Linked DNA regions of Neurospora crassa OR74A. The protein of the gene in region 1 purifies or fractionates together with the protein of each later gene. This does not show direct contact. Links are inferred from orthologs where the notes say so. Each region holds a gene or a part of one and is shown on either strand. Other genes may lie near its edges. The genes, in order: pex5 and pex10.

Evidence for each region.
Region 2: the proteins of pex5 (region 1) and pex10 purify together in Saccharomyces cerevisiae (affinity purification with western blotting; 3 studies listed by BioGRID). This does not show direct contact. The link is inferred for Neurospora crassa OR74A from reciprocal best matches to the Saccharomyces cerevisiae genes PEX5 and PEX10.

Annotation. Positions count from the first base shown.
Region 1 is NC_026501.1:8,571,196-8,575,113, forward strand, and holds the start of pex5 (peroxisomal targeting signal receptor), read right to left. Parts: upstream 2,924-3,918; 5' UTR 2,383-2,923; coding exon 2,212-2,382; intron 2,139-2,211; coding exon 396-2,138; 3' UTR 1-395. Other genes in the region: NCU16466 (nucleic acid-binding protein), read right to left, coding at 3,768-3,918. UniProt on the Saccharomyces cerevisiae protein: Receptor that mediates peroxisomal import of proteins containing a C-terminal PTS1-type tripeptide peroxisomal targeting signal (SKL-type).
Region 2 is NC_026501.1:5,159,092-5,162,518, reverse strand, and holds pex10 (RING-1), read left to right. Parts: upstream 1-996; 5' UTR 997-1,269; coding exon 1,270-2,559; 3' UTR 2,560-2,893; downstream 2,894-3,427. Other genes in the region: NCU03278 (protein-ER retention protein), read right to left, coding at 1-413, 492-582; bem46 family protein, read right to left, coding at 3,248-3,413. UniProt on the Saccharomyces cerevisiae protein: E3 ubiquitin-protein ligase component of a retrotranslocation channel required for peroxisome organization by mediating export of the PEX5 receptor from peroxisomes to the cytosol, thereby promoting PEX5 recycling.

The DNA.
Region 1 (3,918 bases):
CGCTTTTCTCCGCTCACCATCGTGAAGCAAGAAAGAAACACACGACACCCAGCAAATGCAAAACCAGACTCACCACTAGCCGAAAAGCACCAAGCCCCATCTTCGACTTTTCACTCCCCAACACAAGCTGTTAACAACCCCGACAAGCCAGCTACATTCGCTTTGTACAGTACTTAATATTTGTATATTCACCAAAACTCCCTATAATCATCCGAACATAGTGTACTCGCCTCACTCGACAAGTAACCCTCGTCCAAGTCCTCATCACACCACTGCTGCTCCTCCTTCAAGGCCTTCTCCATTTCGACATCAACATCGTAGTAAACATCCTCCATAGCGTCATACCCAACCATCCACTCCTGAGCCTCTTCTTTCAACTCCAACTCTGACTCACTCTAGAAATCAAACTCACCACGGAAGATCTCGGGATCCACGCCCGTAGTAACCTTCTCCGCCAGATCCCTCCGTCCCATCTGCGTGAACACGCGACGGAGAGTGTCGTAAAGGGTCGTGCTCCTGTTCTGCGTCATCATGTTATCGATACGCGAGTCGCTATCACCCGCATTGCCGCCCAGCAGCTCGCGCGCCTTCTCGCGTCCGCTCTTCTCTACAGACTTGTGCATGTCCAGCGCCGCGAGCAAGTGACCCGCGGCCTCAGCATGGCAGCCAATGTTGATGCACGAGACGCCAAGGTTGTAGCGGGCGCGGACAAAGTTGGGGTGAATGGCGAGGGCCTTTTCGTAGGCGGCGATGGCCTCCTCGGAGCGGCCGCTGTTGGCGAGAGTGGCGCCCAGCCGGTTCCAGAGCAGGTGGATCTGTTCGCGCTGGTTGGAGGTGCCGAGCTCGGTCGAGTGCAGCGCCGACTGGAAGCAGTCGACGGCCTTGTCGTAGTCCTCGGCGCCGTAGAACAGGACGCCTAGGCCGACCTGCACGTCGGGGTCCATGTGATCGCCATCGGGAGCGAGGCGGGCCGCCTCGAGGAAGAGGTTGGTGACGCGCTCGTGCAGCTGGGCGCGGTCGGTGAAGCCCATGTCAGCGGCCGAGGAAAGGTTACTGGGTGAGATGACGCTGGGGTACTTGGTCGACAGCCAGCGCTCGAGCGTGCGGTAGGCGGTGCTGTCGTAGCCCTCGTTGGTGTAGGAGACGGCTAGGCCCATCATAGCAGAGAGGTTGTTGGGGTCGAGCTTCATGGCACGCTCGAGAGCACGGATGGCAGCTTCTTCCTTCTCGTTCTGGGCTTGCGTCTGTCCGAGGTAGACCCACGCCTCGGTGTGGTCGGGGTTCTTCTGGACCGCAGCCTCGAAGGCCAGAGCAGCTAGCGACAGGTTCCCGCCCTCCTTCATGATACGAATACCCTCTTCGAATGGGTTTGGTGTCTCCCTGAAGAGGTTATCTTCCTCGAAGAGGTACTCTTGCACGATAGGGTCCGCGCCGAGCCTGCCGTTCAGCGTCCAATCTTCCTTTTCCAGGTTCTCACTGTCGAACTTGGCAAAGTCGTCCTGGACATCAATCTCGTCCAACTCCTTCATGGCGTCTCTTTCGGCCTGGATACCGCGCCAGATGGATTCGAGATCGCCAGCACCAGTCTCGGAGTGAAGTAGCGCCTCGTCCATCTTGTTGAGCTCGGGCTCCATGGCGCGGGCCTCGTCACCATTGATCTCCAGCTGAGCAAAATGCTCTTCCCACTTGTTCTGGTCGAGCTCAACAACTTTGCCCTTACCCTTGCCCTCGGGCTGTAGTTGTTGCTGGGGAATGTTGTGCATCTGAGGGCCGTGCATGCCGACCATGGGCTGGTACATGGGTCGCTGCATCATGTTGTAGTTCATGTTGCCCATGCCCATCATGCCACCACCCATCATGGGGCGCTGAGCAGGCATCTGGCTGGCGGTGGCCGGCGCCGCGGCGGGGTGCATTTGCTGGAACTTTGAAAACTCATCGGCGCTGAACTGAGTGCCAGGCGGCGCATTGAAGGCGGCTTCCATAGCCGCCTGTGTGTTGTGGAAGTCCTGAGCCCATGCTGGCGAGGCGTTCGGGGCGCGCATGTGGGCGCCTTGGCTCGGGTCGAGGTGAAGCATATGTCCTTGTTCGAGAGGCATATGAGCCATCTCCGGCGTTTGGTTTAGGAATCCGTTCACCATCTGTTCGAGAGGATCGTCATGTCAGCCAAGAGCGCATGCCTTGCCGTCAACAATATCCATGAAGATTCCTTACCTCATCTTGGCCAGGCCCGCGGTTAATACTCCGGAAGCCACCAACCGCAGCATTGGGACCTCTGTTGGCAAGTCTGTCATGTTGGAGGCTCTTGTCGTCTCCAACATGCTTGGTAAACTGACTGAGCGGGTTGCCCGCCGTCGAACACTCGGCTCCACCCATGAAAGACATTTTGAAGATGTTGGATATTAATGCGACAATGGCGATGTTTCGGCGAAAGTTGACAACGAAGCCCAAGACAGAAGACAAGATGGGCGGCTCTTGTACACTATCTGGTAGACGAAGTAGAGCGCTATGCGGTCGACTGTTGGGAAAGCAGCGGCCCGCGCAAGTTGTAGAGGCAGGCTGGAAGTAGCGGTAGCTAGGTAGATTTTTGCGCAGGGCAAAGGAAGGATGACTTTAGTTTGGAAGAGGGAAAGAAAAAAAGAAGTGGAAGTAACAAACAAGCCAGGCACGGGCGTGGTGAGCTCGTGGAGTTGATTAATTAGTGATCAAGCGGCGGTGTCCAGAACTGAAGTTGTCCAGGTGAAAGAAAGAAGTTGACCGACTCTCGCGGGATGTGTGGCAGGTGTGCTGTCTTGTAAGTAACGACGGGAGCCCACGGATGCACGGGCGGGTTGTCTGGGTCCGGCATGTGTGGATGGCAGCAGCGTGGTTAGAAATCGGGCTCTGCATGCATCTGAAGTGAGTTGGAACCTTGGGCGCCAAAAGCTCAGGTCACTCAGGGGCACAAGGGGGGCACCGCCGTGCGCCACCTGAACAGCTGGAAATGCCGAGGCAGCCAGGGCACCTCAGCCAGCCATCATATCCACCTCACCGCGCTCTTGTTAGGTCTTTTTGGGCTGTGGCAGTTGCCGGCCACACCTCAGGCACTTGTTGCCTGGCCGCGGCTATTACTGGTAACCCCGCCAATGGAGTGTTGTCAACCACACCTCACATGGAGCCGAACCCCAGCCCGGCCCGTGGAGTACACCCCCGCCCCCGCCCCCGGATCCATCATCGATCCCTTCGTTCCTTCAAACGACAGCCGAGAACAATCGGACGACAGCGGAGTGCGGAAATCATACTCGCATGCCGACAGCACGGCAATGTACGCAAGTTGAAAGGGAAAATGAACAATCAAACGATGCGTTTCGAGCAGATCGTCACGTCACGCATACGGGATGCAGGACGCAAAGAAGGTACAGAAGACCACCCCTCTATTCGTACATATGTACAGCGATATAACCAACAAAAAATGGTAAACGAAAACAACTAGTCGCAGTAAGAAGAAAGAAGAGAAGATTTTTCGTAGTTGTACAGGTATCATTGCAAGCAAAAGGTCAGGATGATGTACGCAGAGTGATCGTACTGCAAAGGCGCCACAACACCAATCCCACAGTTTCCCAATCCCAATGTGCCCCAATTTTGGCAACATTTGTCAAGAAACACAACCGGCCTCTTTTCTTTTTTGAAAACCGAACTTGCCCAGTTTTGCCCTCCATTACATCCGTTTCCCATCCTCTTCACCCAGTCATGTCGTAACCATTACATGCCCTCGATTGCGGCTTGTTAGTTTAGAACTCGGTGGACTCGCCCTGGTCGCGGCGGTTGTAGTTGCGGTCGCCACCCTCGCGGTTGTAGCTGCGGTCGCCACCCTCGCGGTTGTAGCTGCGGTTGCCACCATCACGGTTGTAGTTGCGGTTGCCACCCTCACGGTTGTAGCTG
Region 2 (3,427 bases), about 3.4 Mb from region 1:
CTTGGCGTAGCTGGTGAGAACATCAGCCAGCAAGATATCCCCAAACTTTCCATCCTTGGCCTCAGCCAAACCTCCCACACTGACGCGGCGCAGAGTTGCGAGTAGTCGACGTCGACCGGAGTGCGAAACAGACAGTCTTCGCAGGGGTAGCACGAAGAGGGCTGCGGTCACTGCCAAGTTGGTCATGGGAATCCAGTCATAGTCGATAACGCGTTTTGGATCGCGCCTGGTAAACGACCAAAATGTGAGAATCGAAACAGCGGAGCTTAGCGAAAGAAGAGTCGCAAGACGGTATGTCGAGTGGTGGTGAGGGAGCTGGGTTGGGCTCGATCTTCCTGGGTACCGGATTAAGGAGGGGACGTCGATCTTGCGATTATGGAGGAAGTGAAGGTTGAGGCCCCAGCCCCAAACAGCTAATCAACCAGAGATAGTCAGTTTACAACCGTGTATCCAGAGAGCAAACATACGGTAGGAAACTTGTATATACATACCTATGATCACGATGAAGGCAACCCGGTAGGGAAGGGGAAAGGTCAAGCTGAAGGAGTCGAGCTCCGGCTCAACCACGGGATCACCGTCCATTGCGCCAGGCAGCGGTCAATTTGCTGTCCGTCATGGAATGCGGAGAGGGAGAAGTAACAGTTGGACGCAAAGAAGAGTTGATAGGCTTGGGATCAAATTCCCAGCAGTAACGCGTTTGGAGTTTGTCAAGTGTCAAGATGGAAATTTTAATTTCATCTGTATTGTGGTAGCTGTCGCAAAGACACCGGAGTTGCCAAGCCCCTGTCGCGTGCACTCTTTTTGGCTTAGGGAGAAGACCCGACGTCAGTGCAACCCCTGGTCGCGGCCCCGTCCTGTGACAACCCGCTGCATCATCCCTGCCGCTAAAGCCTGGGCTACGACGTTCTGGGCACCCCCCTGCCAATTCCTCAGCTCGCTCCTTGTGAGGAGGAACCACGCCTGGGGCGGCGCCGGGCGTGCTGCCCCCATTAACCCCAAGGACCGAGGTCCATCCGTTCCCGACTACCACTTTCATCTCAGCTTCAACTGCCGCCTGTCGATCTCGAAACATCAAACAACAACTCGGATAATTTCAGATCGAAAAGACTTAATCATCCACTGCCACAGCTTCGACGATTCGACTGTAGGCATACGAGCTCTCCTAGGGTTCGAGAGTTCCCCCTGAATACGTCGACCGTGTAAACACAGCTTTTGACCCCCCCGACTTCGAGCCCACCCGACCCGACCCAAACGACGACATCAATTACCATGTCATTGACGGCCACCAAGAAGCCTCCTCCGCCGCTCACGAGCTCGCCATATCCATTCGCTGCAGCCCCCGACATTATCCGCGCGCATCAAAAAGATGCCTATTTCCAGGGCGTCCTCACTAACCAGCTGACCGACCTTCACCGGCGCGTTCGCGGTGCCCGCTCCGCCCACTCCTGGGCCACCGAAACCCGTACGGCTGCCGACCTGCTCTACCTATGCCTCACCACCCTCCTCGGCAACCGCACCTTAGGCGAGGAGTACTGCGACCTAGTCCAAGTCGAAGAGCCGAGTACGGGCGGCAACGGCAGGATACCAGACACCCAAAGCCCCGTCGAGCCCAGCAGCGAAGCCGGTGGCCCCCGTCTGCCCTCGCTCCAGCGACGAGCCGGCTACATCGTTAGTAGCGTTCTTGTCCCCTACCTTTTCAGCCGCCTGCTGCCCTCCATCCGCGCCGCGCTCCGCAAGCGCCTCCAGGACCGTCTCACCGTGCTTGCCCGCCAGGGCCGCGGCGACACCAAGGGCGCCACCCCATCTACCTCCAACAACAAGGGCGGTGGTTTCTCCACAGTGTCAACGCTTGAGTACCGCGTGAAGCGCTACCTGCTCACACACCTGACTTCCATCACCAGCGGCGCGCACCTGCACGCCTTGACGCTGGCCGTATTCTACTTTTCGGGTGCTTACTACTCTTTCTCCAAGCGCCTCTTCGGGCTGCGTTATGTGTTCACGCGGCGCATCGAGGAGGGTCAAGGCGGTCGCGCGGGCTATGAAGTGCTCGGCGTGCTGCTGGTGGTGCAGATGCTCGTCCGGGGATACCTGCATGTGACGGCGCAGCTGTCGTCAACTTCGCCGCTTAGTGCCGAGGAGGCCAGTACCGAGGCGAGCATTCGGGAGCGCGCCTTTGGGCCGGGCGCTGCGGGCACACTGGATGTGTCGTTAGATGAGAATGCCTATAGCAGCAATAACGAGTTGCTGGTGGAGACGGGCAAGTCGGGTAACCAGCGTAGTTTGGCGGAGATTGGACGGACGACGCACACCCCTGTGCCCAAGGGCGGGAGGGCGAACTACGACTTGGCGGCGAATGAGGAGGTCATGGGCTGGATCAAGGGGAGACAGCAGAGGATGTGCACGCTTTGCTTGGAAGAGCTGAAGGACCCGGCGGCGACCCAGTGCGGACATGTCTTCTGCTGGTCGTGTATTGGAGACTGGGTGCGCGAGAAGCCTGAGTGTCCGTTGTGCAGACGTGAGACGATGGTACAGCATATTCTGCCATTGAGGGTTGCTTAGAGCAGTCCTTTTCTGGCGGTCGGGGGGGACAAAATACTTAATATACGGGAGATATGACAAAAAGCAGGAGTCTTACAACGTCCTCTCGAGAACAGATTTTGGGTAGTATTTGCACATGACAAGGAGCGAACAGTCAACAACTGCGGTTTAGGGATAATTGTATATGCAGCAAGCATATTGCCAGGAGAGAGAGCCTGTTTTCGTACATAGCCTAATGATTGAATGATCCGACATATTCTCAAAAGGTCAGGAACTTTTGACAAGCTAATGCACATATGTTCAAGTATGAAATTGAATTATTCCTTGTCCGATATTAATATTTGGTATTTACTCTACAAAAACTTCTCTTGCTTGATTAATATCGAGTCTCGTCCCGTTTGGGTCTTAATCAAGACCCGAGCAACCTCGACATAGGTCCAAAGGGTCATGAAATACATACACGAGGTGCGAAAGAGAAAATATGACACCTCAATGAAAGCCTCAAGTTCCGACCCATCTTCAAGCATCAAGCCACCAAGGTCGTGGTTGTCGTACTTGTGCTTCGCTGTCCCCCAACAGCTCGTAATCGTGGACGCTTTCGCGTCATCAAGATCGTGGGCACATCATATGCCTCCCCTTCAACAGAAAGACCCATTTACCGTATGGAATGAGGAGAGAGCGACGGCGCGGATTTCGTTGTCGAATCGAGCTATTTCTTTTCGGGGTCTCCTGAGGAAACCCTTTGGATGAATTCTGCGATGGCTTCAAAGTAGCCTTCTTCGAGGACACTCGAGTTATGGTCGCCGTTGGGAAGAGGCTTCCAGATCTTTATCGGAGCGTTGGAGAGATGATAAAGCTGCTTCATATGAGTGGGTCTAAGATGCGGGTG